Linked DNA regions of Mus musculus: regions 2, 3 and 4 are each reported to be linked to region 1. Evidence: microRNA targets listed by miRTarBase, many of them from high-throughput screens and not tested one by one. Region 1 holds a microRNA gene; each other region holds the end of a gene's coding sequence.

What was found. Region 1 holds the annotated microRNA mmu-miR-125b-5p (UCCCUGAGACCCUAACUUGUGA, at 2,896-2,917, opposite strand). A microRNA usually pairs through its seed, bases 2 to 8, with sites in the 3' UTR of a target mRNA and lowers its output. Matches are read on the target gene's strand: a 7mer-m8 pairs with bases 2 to 8, a 7mer-A1 pairs with bases 2 to 7 and ends in A, and an 8mer does both.
Region 2: miRTarBase lists Map2k7 as a target of mmu-miR-125b-5p. Seed matches in the 3' UTR shown: 7mer-m8 at 1,576-1,582, 7mer-A1 at 1,897-1,903, 7mer-A1 at 2,008-2,014 and 7mer-A1 at 2,057-2,063.
Region 3: the mRNA of Smo is a reported target of mmu-miR-125b-5p. The part of its 3' UTR that is shown has no 7-base or 8-base seed match.
Region 4: miRTarBase lists Ppt2 as a target of mmu-miR-125b-5p. Seed matches in the 3' UTR shown: 7mer-m8 at 3,014-3,020.

Annotation. Positions count from the first base shown.
Region 1 is chr16:77,644,884-77,649,195 of GRCm38, reverse strand. Mir125b-2 (microRNA 125b-2) reads right to left here and starts at 2,923; the gene lies at 2,853-2,923.
Region 2 is chr8:4,244,894-4,249,036 of GRCm38, forward strand. Map2k7 (mitogen-activated protein kinase kinase 7) reads left to right here. Exons shown (of 12, transcript NM_001164172.1): 10 at 1-110; 11 at 650-695; 12 at 802-3,004. The coding sequence ends at 936. Tgfbr3l (transforming growth factor, beta receptor III-like) reads left to right here and starts at 3,321. Exons shown (of 7, transcript NM_001195258.1): 1 at 3,321-3,459. The coding sequence starts at 3,390.
Region 3 is chr6:29,759,614-29,763,756 of GRCm38, forward strand. Smo (smoothened, frizzled class receptor) reads left to right here. Exons shown (of 12, transcript NM_176996.4): 11 at 1-5; 12 at 239-1,753. The coding sequence ends at 672. Among named protein-coding and RNA genes, the nearest start is that of Ahcyl2, 6.8 kb to the right of the region's middle.
Region 4 is chr17:34,613,988-34,618,130 of GRCm38, forward strand. It overlaps Ppt2 (palmitoyl-protein thioesterase 2), which reads right to left. Exons shown (of 9, transcript NM_001302396.1): 8 at 3,677-3,731; 9 at 2,675-3,500. The coding sequence ends at 3,357. It overlaps Egfl8 (EGF-like domain 8), which reads right to left and starts at 1,984. Exons shown (of 9, transcript NM_152922.3): 1 at 1,920-1,984; 2 at 1,180-1,299; 3 at 892-1,014; 4 at 682-791; 5 at 497-592; 6 at 183-353; 7 at 22-104. The coding sequence starts at 1,280.

The DNA.
Region 1 (4,312 bases):
CATCCAAACATGACAGCTTGCAAGGTCATTTGCATATTTAAAATATATTCGTTCAAGGTTAGCACGTGTACCAGCATGCCATTTTGAAGATGAGTTTAAGGTAAGCCCCACCTTTTCTAATTTCATTAATAATTAATTTTTACTGTAATTCCCCTGAGATACTCCTTGGGAGATTCCTCCTTGGGAGATTATGAAATGACTTAAGAATATGTCTACGCTTCTGTTGTGTCAGTGGAAGACTGAAATGTTTAGGAATTTTAAACTGAGAGTGATATTGATCTCGAGAATCCTAAAGGAAAATATAATCATATTAAGATCTGGCAAAATTCCAAATGGTCTCCTTTATGGATTCTAAAATGCTTTAAACATTGTCATGTAGAAAAAAATAAGTCCAGTTCCCCTTGAAAGAGATCTAAACCTAAAAACACAGGTATCACAATATTGTTAGAGGCACACAACGGAGACAAAGGAAAACTACTATTTCATTAGTGTGCAGTAAATGGCTAAGTTGAGTAATGATTTTTATTTCTAAAAAGAATGTGAAGTTGACAGTAATTTAGCAAACAATAAGAGAGAGAGAGAGAGAGAGAGAGAGAGAGAGAGAGAGAGAGAGAGAGAGAGAGAGAGAGAGAGAGAGAGAAACAAGCAGGGGTTAGTCTATGAACTTGGAACAGTGACTTGCTACTTCAAAATTAAAATGTACAAATAAGCTGGTGTCAGAGGAGAGGTGATCCCTCATTTCCAATACACTGAGCAAGCTCACATGGGCAGCAGACAGCTCTTAATGTATGCGTCTGGCTCAGGCTGCTCTCCCAATCCAGAAGCCATCAGATTGCTAATATCACTGCGTTTTGTATGCAAACCACATCATCTTCTCACTCTTTGTTGTTTATCTTTTTGTTTATTTTAAGCTTAGAATGATCTGGTTTTCCAAGTCACATTATGAATCCACAGAACTGCATTATCTGGTGACAGCTGAGAGAGAAATGCAGAGATAGTCACATCCATTCACACACAACATAAAGTAGCTTATGAAACAAAGTCTGATGTACACACACACACACACACACACACACAGACACACACACACACACACACACACCTTTATAGCATAAGACTTGTTTGTGAGTAGTATTCTCACACAACACATGCTTTGCACAGAGAATGTTCAAAATTGCAAGATACATGATGTATATCATATATGATATATGTGATGTTCAGGAGAAGTGAAATTTATTTTAGCATTTTTTTCTCCTATAAAATCTAAGTTAATATATACTACTGTTCATTATCATAGCATAAACAGAAAACCTTTACATTTAAATTTTTTGCTATCATAGCTGACTACTATTATTCCCTAGTTCATTGTGGATTTCAACTGATGAAGTAACACTTGCATATCGTTTATGATTATCATAAAACAGGTGTTAGTAAACACACTCCTCTCTGATCATCTGTGTAAAGCTTCTGTTAAATAGAATCAAGCTTGTGTGATGCTCACAGATACACATACATAGAGTTCTTTGTGATTAAAGAAAAGTTCTGACTTTATATTTACTCCTTTCACATGGAGTCGTAAAACATGCTTATATACACACTTAGATTTTAAAGCTTCTAGATAAATGACAGGGGTGAGGCCAGGAAAGAATCTAAAAAGATTCTTTGTGTTGATACGACATCAACACAAACTTCAACGTAGTCTGTGTTTATGATACTATTATATTATTTTTAGGAAACAATAAAGATGCTTTGCATTTTTTTGATATTTCAAGTAATGAGCAATAGTAACAACCTTAACAAAAACAGAACAAAGACTCCACATGATATCCTAAAATAGATTCATAGGTTTATTTACTAATGGAGAAAACAATTTACGGTGAAACATCAGAGTTAAAACACCAAAGTCACTCTTGCCTGTGTTATGAAAGCCACCTTGTTTTAAGCCTAAATTTCTGCAATGTTACTGTATATTTGGAATAGATTTATTGATTATAGATCAAAAAAAACACATGTTTAATGTATCATTGACTAATAAGTCACACAGGCTATGGATGGAATATTTACTTCTGGTAATGAAAATTCTGATCAAAGCCTGCATCTCAGACGTGTTTTACATGTGAACAAGAGCAGCTGAGTTCATAGGCATTCTCTAATGCTTTATAACACACACAAAGTGAAATGTAGAAATTCAAAAGCACTGTATTTTCCCTAAATATATACTTTGTGAATCTCAGAATAAGGCAGTTGTTCATACATATATACTGTTATGTGTGGGCAAAAGACTAAGGAAACACTGGCTAAAATTACCATGTATAAAACAATATTCTCTCATATTAGTATCAACAAGAATAAGATCAATAAAGAAAACTGTAAATCGTTTCTTTTTCAGGCCTCGAGTATGATTAGAATCTCATTTGACGTAGTCTAAGCCACAGTTCTATGGAAGCATGCATAATTTATTGAAATAACTAATGTATATAATTCTACGCATACAAAAACTTATGAATATAAACAACTCTTACAATGAATCTTCTTCATCTTAAAACACACCCAAAGCGATGTTTATTTTTTTAAAAAGAACTTGTGTTTTAATTCTACTTCTTGTACATATCTCTTACAACACTTTTATACGATAATCACAGTAAATACAAACGCTATTTCTATTCTACTGTGCCATATCTTTAGAGTACCGATTCTGAAGATTGTATTTTGGGGGTGTTGTCATGGTGAAACCCTTGCTGATTAGAAAGAAAACCATTGTTCTTTGCGCCTATGCAGAATCTATGCCTGTTCTTTTGTTCTGGTGGTTTATGCCGAGAATCAATAAGGTCCCAAGCTGCTGGTATCCCTCCGCCTAGGTCCCAAGAACCTGACTTGTGATGTTACTAAAATACCTCACAAGTTAGGGTCTCAGGGACTAGGCAAAGTCTCGTGTGATGCAGGAGAATTCTTCTTCCAGGTAAACGGACAGCTTGGGAATTAGAGTTGGGTTCATTTATTTTTAATCTTCTAAATACTAATTGAAACACACAGACAGAAACATAAGTAACACATGAAAGTCAAAGATGAGCTGAATAATCAGGACGGCCACCTATAGATCAGAACTTACAGTAATGTGGGGCATGAAAAACAAAGCAGACAATGGACATTTAAGAATCACCCCATTCTATCCAAAGAAGGAGACAAAAATGGGTTAAAATATGCTCCTTGCAGATTTTTACAGCAACACCCACTTCTATTACACTAAAAAAGGATTATATGCCAGTTAATGGGGCCCTAATTGATATTTTGCTTCTATTGAAGTTTTATATATCACAACTGTTACTGTGGGCCCAGGATATACAACACTTCAAACTCTCATTTAAATTATTACAGATAAGATTTAAACAAAAACTTTGAATATGTCATAATTTAATACCTATTAATGTTGATTTTTCTCTTTAAATATGCAAACTATTCAGACAGCAAATATTTTCATGCACACTTCATAGTTATTTGAACAAGACCACCTAACAAGCTTTAACTTAAAATCCTGGCAACATAGTAAGAAAACAAAAAAAGATCCTTTACTTTGAATAATTACATTATATAGTTCAATACTTTTGAAAATACACAGTCTCAATCCTGACTATTCATCAAATTCTCTCCCATCTTTTCGCCTTGTTGTGAAAGAGCAGAATCTGGACTTTAGGAATGATCCAAGGTTTAGTAGCACAGAATGCAGGGCAAAACAATCACACTTAGCACAGCATAAAACTCCTGGCCACAGAAGTGGAATCTGGTTCTTCAGAAGTGGTTGATCTTAAAAGGGAAAAGCAGGGGGGTTAGAAAAGGAGAGAGGGGGAGAGAGAGAGAGAGAGAGAGAGAGAGAGAGAGAGAGAGAGAGAGAGAGAGAGAGAGAGAGAGAGAAATGGAATGATTTAGAGTGTTTTCCTCTAGGCAGGTGAACCATCCATTTCCAGGAAGCTGCAAGGAAAGCTATGCTGAACAAAATATTTGCTAAGTGTTCCCCTCCCCCACCCTAGTACCACACCCCTTTCTAACCACCACCCCCCTTCACCCCTGCCCAGATCTTTACTTTGCCTTGTAAGACTTAAGCATTCTGTTCCGTGATGTAATGCATCATTATATAAGATCTCTTTCTGTTTATCATTTGATTTCCCATACTGAATCACTTATGGCCCCAAATAAATAGTTTTATAGAAGAAAAAAAAAAGATAAAACCAAAACCAAAAGAAACAACCAAAAAGCAGCATTCACAAAAAGCAAAGAGGAAAAAAAATAAAATTAAATAAAACAAAACAGTACTTAG
Region 2 (4,143 bases), not on the chromosome of region 1:
AACTGCAAGACGGACTTTGAGGTCCTCACCAAAGTCCTACAGGAAGAGCCCCCACTCCTGCCTGGTCACATGGGCTTCTCAGGGGACTTCCAGTCATTTGTCAAAGACTGGTGAGCACTCCCATGCTGCCTGTCCTGGCTCCTACCTCTCTACTCCGGGATGTTCTGGAATGTCTGGTGTCCTCATGCTACTGGGGAGGGTGGAGGCTGGGAAAAGGGGACGGGATGAGATGGGCACAGCTACAGGTACACCCATGGCTTGTGGCTGTAGACAGGAGTTAAAGCTGGAGCCCTGGGAGTCACTTTTTGGGTTTGTTTGGACCTGTGGGGAACCGCTGGCCCTGTGGGTGTCTGGCATGGCGACCCTGTGGCTTTGCAATGGAGGTTGTGTAGGAATATCACACTTGAGTCTTAACTTTCTCTGATGTGACCCTCACATTGCGCGTGGTTCCAGCTCCCCAGCTGGGTCTTTACCTAATACTATATTGGGCCAGGAGAGTTTGTGGATCCCCAGCCTGGTGGAGCCTGGCTGTGAGCAGCTGCTTCTGGCTTACTGGAGAGGGAGGGCCTGAGCATAGATGGGCATCCAGGCACAGTCGGGCTTCATTTTTCTGACTCTCATTTCTCTTTTCTCCCTGCTCTTTGTCCAGCCTTACTAAAGATCACAGGAAGAGACCAAAGTATAATAAGCTACTTGTGAGTACCTCTCCCCCAACCCCCACCACGTGTGAAGTCCTCCGGGTCTCAGTTGCAAGACCAGGAGGACTGACTCCTCATAATAAGCAAACTCTTGGGCCTACAGGAACACAGCTTCATCAAGCACTATGAGATACTCGAGGTGGATGTCGCGTCCTGGTTTAAGGATGTCATGGCGAAGACCGAGTCCCCAAGGACTAGTGGAGTCCTGAGTCAGCACCATCTGCCCTTCTTCAGGTAGCCTCATGGCAGCGGCCAGCCCCGCAGGGGCCCCGGGCCACGGCCACCGACCCCCCCCCCAACCTGGCCAACCCAGCTGCCCATCAGGGGACCTGGGACCTGGACGACTGCCAAGGACTGAGGACAGAAAGTAGGGGGTTCCCATCCAGCTCTGACTCCCTGCCTACCAGCTGTGGACAAAAGGGCATGCTGGTTCCTAATCCCTCCCACTCTGGGGTCAGCCAGCAGTGTGAGCCCCATCCCACCCCGACAGACACTGTGAACGGAAGACAGCAGGCCATGAGCAGACTCGCTATTTATTCAATCATAACCTCTGGGCTGGGGTAACCCCCAGGGGCAGAGAGAAAGCCCCTTGTCCCCATCCCCCCAAACTCCCAGTGTCTGTCCCCTCCACCTTCTCTCGCACACATGCTTGCTCTACGTCTTTCCTTCTGTCCCCTCCCTCTCTACCACTGTCCCTTTCTGGTTCCCCTGTCTCCCTCCCAGCCTCTGAAGCCTGGGTGCCGCCACTCTACCCTCAGTGGAAGGAAGCCCCAGGTTCATCTAGGCTTCCTTAAGTCTTTGTCCTAGGATGGCTTTGTGGGCATTGTGACTGCAGCCAAATGGTTGCTGTCTCTGTGTCTGTCTGTCTCTCTTTGATCTCAGGGGGTCCTTTTGGAGTTTATTGTATTTTATTGTACTTGGTGGGGGTGTGTTGGGGGGGGGGTGTCCTCATGGGGTCGGTACCTTCAGAAAATTTTACCAAAGTAATGTTTAGCTGCTTGTGGTGGCCCCCTCTCCTCCATTGCCTCAGGCATTGGGGGTTGGACTGCTTGCTGCTCCTTGTCATTTCTGGCCTAGGAGAGGCCAGGCTCCATGGGGGACCCTCACATGGGACTGGGAGCTGCTGACAGTTTGGGGTTGAGTAGAAGAGCTCAGGTGGCACAGAGGGAGACCAGGGGCCTCAGCCACACGATGGCCTTCAGGGAAGGTGTATGAGGGATGCAGTAGAGAGTAGCAGGTAGCAGGGAGGGACTGTTGGGAACAGTGACAGGAGGGAATCCTGCCAAGGGGCAGGAGGGGTCCCGAGAAGTCAGGGATTAGGAGTGAAGGGAGTAGATGTGGAGGTCCGAGCATGTGAATCAGGGACGAGACGGACAGGCGTGAATGCAGGGGAGGCCAGAGTATTGGGATGCGACGCGACTTACTCCCAACATGCCCCTGAGCATGCTTTAGCTCACCTAGAGCTGACCAGCTCCAACCCAACCTGTGGCCTGGACTGGGCCAGGTGCCTGTCCCATTGTCCTGCAGTTTCGAGGACAGAGTGGGGTATGTTTCCTTTTTGTTGGTGATGCATGCAGTTCAAGTGGACAAGAGAACAATATAACAAAACAAAAAAATTTACAACCACAAATCCCAGCACCAAAGTTGAGAAACCTTGCTGGAAGTAGCTGATGCAACCATACGTAGGCTTAGGTGACACTGTGGCTCTTAACTGTCCTGTTGACGCCTCTTCATCCTATTCTCACAATGCCGCATGCTTAAATCGTAATAGAAGTCATCTTCTATGCCCGGGTAGGGTAGGGCACCCTCTCTCCTTATCTCCTGTGTTGGGGAGGCGGAATGAAGTAGGGAGAGAGTAGCAAGCCCGGCCCCACCCTTACCATTCTGAGGCTGGCCGCAGCATGGCTAGCCTTTGTGTGTACTTAGGTCACATGGCTGGTCCCAGGGCCAGCACAGGCCCAAGACTGGGCCTGATGGTTTTATTTTTATTTAACTTTATTTTCTGTGTGTTGTCTGTCTGTCTGTCTGTCTGTGTTGTCTTTGTCTACTGCCCTCTAATGTTAAGTGGGAGTCTGGAGGAGTCTCCCACTTCCCCACCTTCTCCCAAGTCCTTCCCTCTGTCACCAGCCATCCCTCAGGCCCAGGCAGAGTGGGTCTCGGGCAGGTAGGGACCTGGAGTGGCCTGGTCCCACCCTCTGACCTCCTCCTCAGGCCACCAGTGTTGCCCTCTTCCCTTTTTAAAACAAAATACCCTTGTTTGTAAATCCTTAGACGCTTGAGAATAAAACCCTTCCCTTTTCTTCCGAGTCTGGTGTCCTAAGCCTGGTAGAGTGTACAGAGATATGGGAAGGGCCTGGGAGGAGGGCTTTTAGTGTGGTTAGGGATGACATTCATGGGAAACTAGCCGGGCCGGGAGCTGGGTGGGAGGTGTTTGGAGTGACCGAAGGCATCAGGCAGCTTTGTGAGGGGCCCCCCTTGTAGAAATTTCAGTACATCAAGAAAGCCCTTATCCATGGCTGGCCTTGAGCATGTGCTCAGATGTCAGCCCCTCCATCCTCCGCCCCCGCTCCCTGCTTCCCAGGGTGGCAGCCTCACCAAGGCCAGGGCTACCTACCCACACCTAGAGGGCTGGGTACAGCCCAGCCAGGTGCTCGCTGCCGGTCTGGAGCACTCGAACCTGGACAGGCCGCCATGGTGGGCACTGCGCTCCTGCTCCTGGCCCTGCTCCCTGGGACCTCCAGTAAGCACGGTACACCACGTGGTACGTAGAGGCTGCCACGGGGTGGGGGCATTGTGTCCCACTTGCCCATTGTCCCTTCTCAACTGCGTTTTGCACCTGGATGTGTGTGGTGGTGTGGGGAGGGGGAGGGGTGCCATCCCTTTTTCTTTTCCCAGACTAGCCCCTCTGCCAGTTGCCTTAAATTTCTCAACCAAGTGATGGTAAGGGCTGTGGATATAGGGTCAAGTGTGCAAATCATTCGTGATAAACCCCCAGCTAACTGCTGCTTGAAAGCAGTCATTTGCTTGTATAGGCTGTGTGTGTGTGTAAGTGCAAGCCTGGGTAAACACAAAAGAGACCATCCACCCTTACCTCTTGGTGCTCTCTCTCCTCTGTTTGGGGACTTAGAGATCTGTTGAACAGAAATTCCCAGTCCTGTTGCCTGTCTGTACTGAGCCTCTGCCCTCTGGAGGGATACGGGTGGGCACCCTCCTGACTGCAACAGATGCCAGTAACCTACTTCTCCTTAGTGGCCAGTAGCTCATACTGGATCTTTTAGACTCTAAGGCTTTAGCAACCTGGGCAAAGCAGAGAATCCTGACTTCATCTCTGCTGACCACCACCACAGGAGGGCATTAACTCCGTGTGTCCCCCACATCCCCTTGCCTACTCTGCAAATGGCACAAAAGGTCAGAAAATGAAAGAGCACAGCTTTGTGCTGGCTTC
Region 3 (4,143 bases), not on the chromosome of region 1:
TCCAGGTATGAGGGCTCTGTCTTCTGCAGGAAGGAGGGGTGGGTGGACACTTTGGAATGAATGTATGGGGTTGTAGAACTAGGGGAAGGAAGGAAAGGCCCCAGAGGACCTGAAGGAGATGCCAAGGCTTGGGAAGCCTGGAGGGACGGGTCCCAGAACCCAAGAACAGGGATTCTGGGAGGGAAGGGTGGAAAGAACAGAACAAAGCCCTAAGCTGTGCTCTTTGTCCCCCTGACAGTGCCACCAGAAGAACAAGCCAACATGTGGCTGGTTGAGGCAGAGATCTCCCCAGAGTTAGAGAAGCGTTTGGGCCGGAAGAAAAAGCGGAGGAAGAGGAAGAAGGAGGTGTGCCCCTTGAGGCCAGCCCCTGAGCTTCACCACTCTGCCCCTGTTCCTGCCACCAGTGCAGTTCCTCGGCTGCCTCAGCTGCCTCGGCAGAAGTGCCTGGTAGCTGCAAACGCCTGGGGAACAGGGGAGTCCTGCCGACAGGGAGCCTGGACTCTAGTCTCCAACCCCTTCTGCCCAGAGCCTAGTCCCCATCAAGATCCATTTCTCCCTGGTGCCTCAGCCCCCCGGGTCTGGGCTCAGGGCCGCCTCCAGGGGCTGGGATCCATTCATTCCCGCACTAACCTAATGGAGGCTGAGATCTTGGATGCAGACTCGGACTTCTGAGCCTGCAGGGCAGGTCCTAGGATGGGAAAGACAAATGTACACCTTTCTATGGCTCTTCCTGAGAGCACACCTCTGGGTCTCATCTGACAGAGTCTGTGGGCCAAGTGTCTGCCTAGAAGAGCTGTGTATGTCTGGCTAGAAGCAGCCAGGCCATGGAAACAAGTTGAATACAGCGATTGGTAGGCCTCATGTCAGAATCAGGACCCTGCACTTCAGGACCCTTGCTTCTGCCCACCAATCAGAGTCTGACTGGCAGTGTTAGTCTCCGACAGAGCTTGTACTAGGGCAGGAATGGCAGAGACAGGGATGATGGTACCCAGAGTGGGCTGTGGTGGTCTGTGAGGTAACCAAGCCCATGTCTGGCAGATGAGGGCTGTTTGCCCTTTTCTGTGCCAATGAGTGCCCTTTTCTGGCACTCTCAGACCAAAAGTGTTTATTGTGTCATTTGTCCTTTGTCTAGGAGAGGACAGGACTCTCTTTTTCCTCTTCCTGGTAGTTGTAATGACCACTCCCATAAGGGCTATAACTGTTCTTCACAGGTGGCCCTGCTCAAAATACATCCTCTCTTTTCCCGTTCTATCCCTACATTCACATCTCAGTTCCACTAGGCCAACCTCTTCCTGGTTAGCACCTTAAAACTGCAGTGAGCACACACAGACACACACACACATACACTCTCACACACACAGACAGGCATGCACACACACACACACACACACACACACACACACACCCCTTACTTCTGAGCTCTGTCTTAAGAGACTACTGGTTCAGCTCCAGGCCTCTGAAAGACATGTTATTTCTTCCTCACATCCATCCAGTGGGGAGGACCCTCTGACTTAAGGGACCACCTTGGGAAGCTTCTGTAGCTTCAGCCAGGCAAGAAAGCTTCTTCCAACTTCTGTTTCTGGTGGGAGCGGGGGGACTCCCACTTTTTACAATGTCTAGTCATTTTCATAGTGCCCCACATTCAAGAACCAGACAACAGGATGCCTTAGAAGCTGGCTGGGTTTTGGGTCAGGGGCTCAGTATGAGAAGAAGAAATATGAACAGCAAATAAAACATTTTTGTATAAGCTCATGCGTGTTTCTTTTCCCCAGCCCCAGCTCTGGCTTATGTACCTGGTCCAGAACTTCCATGAACTCCTGAGGTCTTTTTCACCAGTGGAAAGCTTGCTGGTGTGGTCATGACTGACAGATACAGGGCTGATTCAGCGTAATATGCTGGCTGCTCTCTCTGGCTACTTGGCAGTAAATGAACAAAAGGTGCTTGTTGGCCACCTTTGTATCCTTAAGTTCCAAGCATAAAGAGAATGAAGGACAGACATGCAGGATGCCCTTGGAGTGGCCATGGGAAGCGAGTGTTTTCCTGGTGGTATACAGACGGGCACAGCTACTGCCAGTCCCAGGTTTCACCATTGCAGGGTGGCATGCTCTGCCTCCTTCCAGAGATGTTAGGTCGGGTACATTCTGATCCACAGCTTCCTTTCTGGGCAGTCAAAGGAATTCAAACACAAGGAGAGCTTGTTGGTTTTGCTTCTTTAAAATACCAGCAGAAGATTGGGAACTGAATTCAAGTGACTAGATTATGTAGCAAGGTCTGTGGAGAAAAGGCAGTGAGAGCCACAGACCTGAGGGTACTGTGGAGTGCTGATCTGGCTTAGGACGAATAGTCCCTTCTTCAGCTGTGTGTGTGATGGGGACAACAGGGTTTTAATCAAGCCAGATTTTCCAGAAAGAGGAGAAATGGAATTCTGGTTTTATCCCAGGTGACTTGTAGATATGATATACCACTGAAAGCTAACACCCAGGGCTGGCTTTGCGGGGCACTCTTCTGAGCTCTCCACAGAATTCAGCTCAGGCAATCTCAGAGCCCTGCCAGGTTCTGTTCTACCCCTCAAGACACTGAGGCATAGAAGGCCTAATGGGCTGCTCCAAACTATTCAGCTACTGGTAATGCTGGCATCCAGGCATGGCCTTCTGGTTTCATGGTGACAGGGATCTAACCATGGTGCTCTTTGCATGGAATCAAGTTCAGCAAAGTAAAGCAAAGTGACTTGCACACAACCCCATAGCCAGAAAGCTGCACACACTGGCCTAGTATTTCTGATTGCGAAGTCCTGGCTCTGCAGCTTGGTGGAAATTCATTCTTAGATTTCTCCATTTTGTGTTTCCTCAGGCTACCCCCTCCTCGGCACTTGTCAGTGTTGGTTACTATTTTCTGAAATTAAAAAAAAAATGCTACGGTTTTCCTCATTTCATTTCCATGAACATTTAACTGTTTCTTTTCCACGTTCTGTTTCTTCTTCCTTAGAAGGATTGCTTACGTAAAGGATAAACTACTGAGGTCAGTCTGGGCCTTCAAACAGCTGAGGAACCTGTATGGTTGCAGTGACAGATTGTGGGCACTAGAGGACAGTCCTAACTCTGTTTTCTGTGCATCTGCATGCAGGCTCAAACTGCAGCTGGATGTCCAGTGTTGCGACACCCAGGCAAACAGGCAACCTTACAGGATTTCTGTAGGAGTGGCAGAAGTCACTCTGAACAATGATCATCATTTCTTCTAAAAGTTTTGAATCCAATTCCTAAGGAAACACTTCCAAGTTCAAGAGATGCCAATTTTGGCTTCCTGCTGTCCTGAGAACTACTTCCCCACCAGCCCTGCCTTCTGCCTTACCTGGGTTCTTGGGTTTTCCTACCACACTCTCAACCTTAGACTTCCTGTTCCTACTTCTATTGGTTCCAGCTTCTTTTTTATTTTATGTTGACTTCAAGGATGTCTGTGTGAGGGTGTTGAATCCCCTGGATCAGGAGTTACTGTTGTGGGCTGCTATGTAAGTGCTAGGAATTGAACTCAGATCTTCTGGAAGAGCAGCCAGCCCTCTGAACAGCTTTTCCAGCCCCTGGCCCTAGCTTCCTTACAGCAGGCTGCACTGCCCTAACCATTCCCCTGCCCACTTGAGCTTTGAGTGTAAAAAATTGAAAAGACATGGAAAATCATAAAGAACAATAGACAAACAACCAGGGCTGGAGAGATAGCTCACTGATAAAACACTTGCCTTGCAAGTGTGAAAACCATGTAAAGATGCCGGGCAAGACCAACCAGATGGCTCAGAAGATAAAGGCTTCACTACCTGAGTTTGATCCCCAGAGTCCTCAAGGTGGTATATGTGTACCCATGTGCACACATATAAACATTTTTATTATGTTTATTTGCATGTGTGTATGCCCATGTGTCATGTGGTTTTCATAGGACAGCTGCCAGGAGTCAGTTCTCTGATTTTTAAAAAGAACAGTCTGTATTTCTTGGATTTCTTTCTACTGTTTGTTTTGAAACAAGGGCTCAGGTCTTGTTTTTTGGTTTTTTTTCAAGACATGGTTATTCTATGTAGCCCTAGCTGTCCTAGAACTTGCTTTGTACCAGGCTGGCCTCAAACTCAGAGATCCTGAGTGCTGAGATTAAGGCATGAAT
Region 4 (4,143 bases), not on the chromosome of region 1:
ATGCCTCTCCCAGCTGCTCACCTGCTCCAGCTTCTCCAGACGCCCACGAAGCTCTGCAACCTCCCACCTCAGGGCTCGCTCCTCTTCGCTGTCTGCTTCCCGAACTAGGACAAAGGAAAAAGAGAGTGTGGCCTTCCCCCGCAGCACAGACCAGGCCCACCCCACAGGCAACCCACACTCACCTGCCACACTGAGGATGCTGGCACTTGTCGGGGACTCTGGAGGCCCCCCTGCACAGGTGCGTCCATCGAGACCCAGCACCAGGGGGTGTGGACAGCTGCACAAGAAGCTGCCCAGTGTGTTGAGGCAGCCATGAGAGCAGAGGGTAAGGCTGGCCCTGCATTCATCGACATCTAGTTACCAGAAAGAGAAGAGAGCTCAAGGGGGCAGGCAGGATGCAGGGTGAGTGGGGCAGTCCCCATCTCAGCACCCACCCCCATTGCCCATGTGTGTGTGTGTATGTGTGTGACAGGGGGAGGGGGACCATCCTGCTCACCCACGTGGCAATGCTTTCCTCCCCAGCCTGGGGCACACTCGCACCGGTCTGGTCCAGTGCAGACACCTCCATTAAGACAAGGCTTGGAGCAGATGGCTGGGGTCCATTTGAGAAGACAGTTAAGACCCAGACACAGGGCCAGCTCCCAGCAAGCCTCCCACAGCCTGAAGTCCCAGCCTCCTCACCATCACAGGTGAGAGCTCCTGGGTGTGGCTTCTTCCAGCCCTGACAGCACACCACGTGTGTCTGTGGTACCTCCCGCCTCACCTCCCGCCAGGCCACACGGTATGTGGTCCTAGAACACAGAAGCAGGCTCATATCTGTAGGTACCCATCCTGGACTTGCCTCTTGGGGTCCCTTTGAGACCTGGGAGCCTTAGGGGCTTCACCTCTCACCTGTAGGTGCTACATATGCGCCTCCCCGCACACAAGGTCAGGTAGGGTTTGTACACCGGTTGACTATAGGACTCGTTGTAACGGAGAGGAACCAGCAGCGTCTGCTTGGAGCACACTCCCAAACTGTAGGCACACCAGGGAGGAGGAGGGTGTCGGGCCCTCAGCACCTCACACAGCTGAGACCAGGCGCCCCCCTCCCACCCTGGCATCTCGCCTTCATTCTGAACTTTCAATTTTCTGTCCCATGGCAAACCCCATCCCAGCAAAGCCCTCCCCATTGGCTGTCACCTCTCTTTGAAAGATCCTCCTCTGGTCCCTTCGCCCGTCATCAGCACCAGGAAGAATGAGAGTCCTCGTAGGGAAATGCACAGCTCAGCCCAGAGCCCCATGGCTCCCTCACTCTGAGGGCTGCAGACAAGTGGTTATTGGAGCTCTTCCCTTCTCCTTGGGTCTCTAGGTGAGGCCCTCCTAAAGCAATCTGACTTGGTGGTCAGGACACTGACTTTCCCAAGCCACTCCCATGGTCTGCAGTGGCCTGCACACCTAACCAACGTGCCCTGCCAGTACCAAGTCATGGTCCCTCCGTCCTCAGCCAGGCTCACCACTCTAAATGCTCCTGGCCAGCCTTCCTGCACATCCCTTGCACACTGCCTTAGAATATGTCACCTTCACAAGTGTACACACCTTATACCCCGACCCAAGCATCCACCGCTCCCCCACACTCTCATCATACCGACACCCCTCACTCAGAAGCCCTCCCCCTCCCTCGTCCCCACTGGAAGGTGAAGTGATGTGGGTTCTTCCCACCACTGACTTCCTCTCCCTACCTACCCACTTCTCCTCTTCCTACCTGTTTCCCTGTCCAGGAGGCTGCAGCAGCAACAGCCCCAGCAGCCGCAGCTTACACTGGTGGGTGGGCCTCTCTGGCTGAGAAGATGCAGAGGGGCTGGACCACACAGCAGTCTCCCTCCCACTAGCTCCTCAGACCCAGGCTGGTTGGCTCAGTAGACAGGCCCTGCCTTCCTCACCTTCTTCTCTTCAGCCAAGTGTTGCTCCAGCAGGACCTACACAATTTCGGAGGTCCCTGAATTATGGACCCCAAATCAGAAGTTCCCGGCTCTAATAGCAACCAGTACCCCACCCCCTTTCAGCCTAAGAGACTGTGGGATAATGTGAGGGCAGGGAGAGAGGGCGGGAGACAAAGCAAGAGCAGGTCATGGCCAAGTAGGCCAGATCGGCTGAGGAAAGAAAGCGGCCGTCACAGAAGGGCAGGGGCAGCCCAAGGCACCAAGGGAAAAACTGTCTCCATCTCTTGATGGCATTTGTTGGGGGCTGAGGGGCACCACCCCCAAGCCAGAACAGACAGGGCCCTATTGTCTCAGTCTAAATTCCTCCTCCCAGGCAAAGGGAGATTCACTGTACAGCCCCTCACCCGGTCCTGGCCTCCAAAGGTCAAGGGGGATGACACATGCCCACTCTGACCCTCAGCCCCCTTGTCTAGTCTGGGGGTGGCATGTCAATTCCACCCATGAGGCCGAGGCCCAAACTGGCAGAGCCTGGGGCTTAGCCCCCTAACCCTAGGCTGGGACAGGAAGAGAATTGTCTTCAGCAGGAAAGAACCCGCAGAGTCAGGAACCCACACAGAATGGGCATTGAGAGGAAGGAAACACCAAGGGGGTCCCCACCCCAGACCAAGCATCCGGGCATCCAGGCCCCAGGCTCTCTATTCCCACCCTCCTGGGGGAGCCCAGTTCCCCTTCACCTGGGAATAAGCCAAGCCACGCTGAGGAAATGGATCTTTTATTTCTATAAATACAGGGACCACCCACTCAAGGGTAGTTAAAAGAGGGGCTGGGGCCTCAAAGAACCTAGGCTCCCAGGGGATACCCCAACACTGATCATAGGGACTGGGGGATCCCCAAACCTGAGATGGGCCTTGCAGGCCACAGATATTCCCCAACACTGACACTTCAAAAGTGGAATTGTCCCCATAGGGGAGCCTCAGAACACCCCCTCTTATGGGTGCCCCTCTTGGTGGGGAGGCTAGCCACAGGGAAGTTGAGAAAAGAGGGAAACGGGGATAACAGAAGCTAAAAATGTCCTGAGTGGCCTGGAAGAAGACCCCTGAGGTGGGCAGGGGCTGGGTTCTCCTCCGATACAGCCAGACCCGGAGAAGCAACAGCAGCGGTGAAGCCACAGTTAAAAACCTGGCACTTGCTTCCCAACCTCAGCCGTGGCAGAAAGGGAGAGCGTGGAGGCGTCCCCAAGTGAGGACATGAGGTAGGGGACCAGGACTTGTCATTCACAGAGGAGCAGGGGGGGAGGGGGGAGGGGAGCCCTGGTGGGGGTCGGGCAGTGTGGGAATGACAAGATGGTTGCAGGCATGCCAGAGCCTGGCATCTGCTTCCCAAGGCCACCGCTTGATCTCTGGGCTGGGGAATTCCTGGAGACCACTGAGGACATCTTCAGGAGAGCCACGGCTCAATGCAAGTATCGTAGAGCGTACGGTTAGAGTGCCACGTGGTGTGAGAGATGCCAGCCATGGGACACCTCACTATGGCCCCCCGGGCCAGGAGAGTCTTCAACCCAAAAGAATCTCGAAGATACACCTTCGAGGTGGGCCGAGGGCCATGGAAACATGGAAGAAAGAGAGACAGGAGTGAGACGCTGCTCATGTCCAGACCAACCTCTCCCTCCCTCATGAAGCAGGAGTCAGAGGCAGAAGGAGCCCCAGAGTGAAGTGGAGACAAAGGGAGGGGGAAGGCAAGTCTTTGGAGGGGCTTACCGGCTGCTCCTCCATCTCCAGAACTGTCTCATTGGCATCATAGAAACCAAAGAAGCTGCAAAGACATGTATGTGCATAGAGGTTATCAGGAGAACCAAGGAAAATTCATGTGCATTAGTGCCCCCACAGAGACTCATGGCCCCGGGAGACAGGCAGCCTAGAGCACACTCAAAGGCTAAGAAGTTAGGGGGCATCTGCGGTAGTACACGCCTTTAATCCCAGCACTTGGGAAGCAGAGGTCGAGGGCAGCCTGGTATAAAAAGTGAGTCCTGCGGCCAGGGTTCTGTTACACAAAGAAACCCTGCCTCGAAAAACCAAAATAAATAAATAAATAAATAAATAAATAAATAAAAAAGATAGAATTTAAGATCTAGAGAACTGGTTCAGAACAGCATAGCCAGCCTGTTACACAAAGAAACCCTGCCTCGAAAAACCAAAATAAATAAATAAATAAATAAATAAATAAA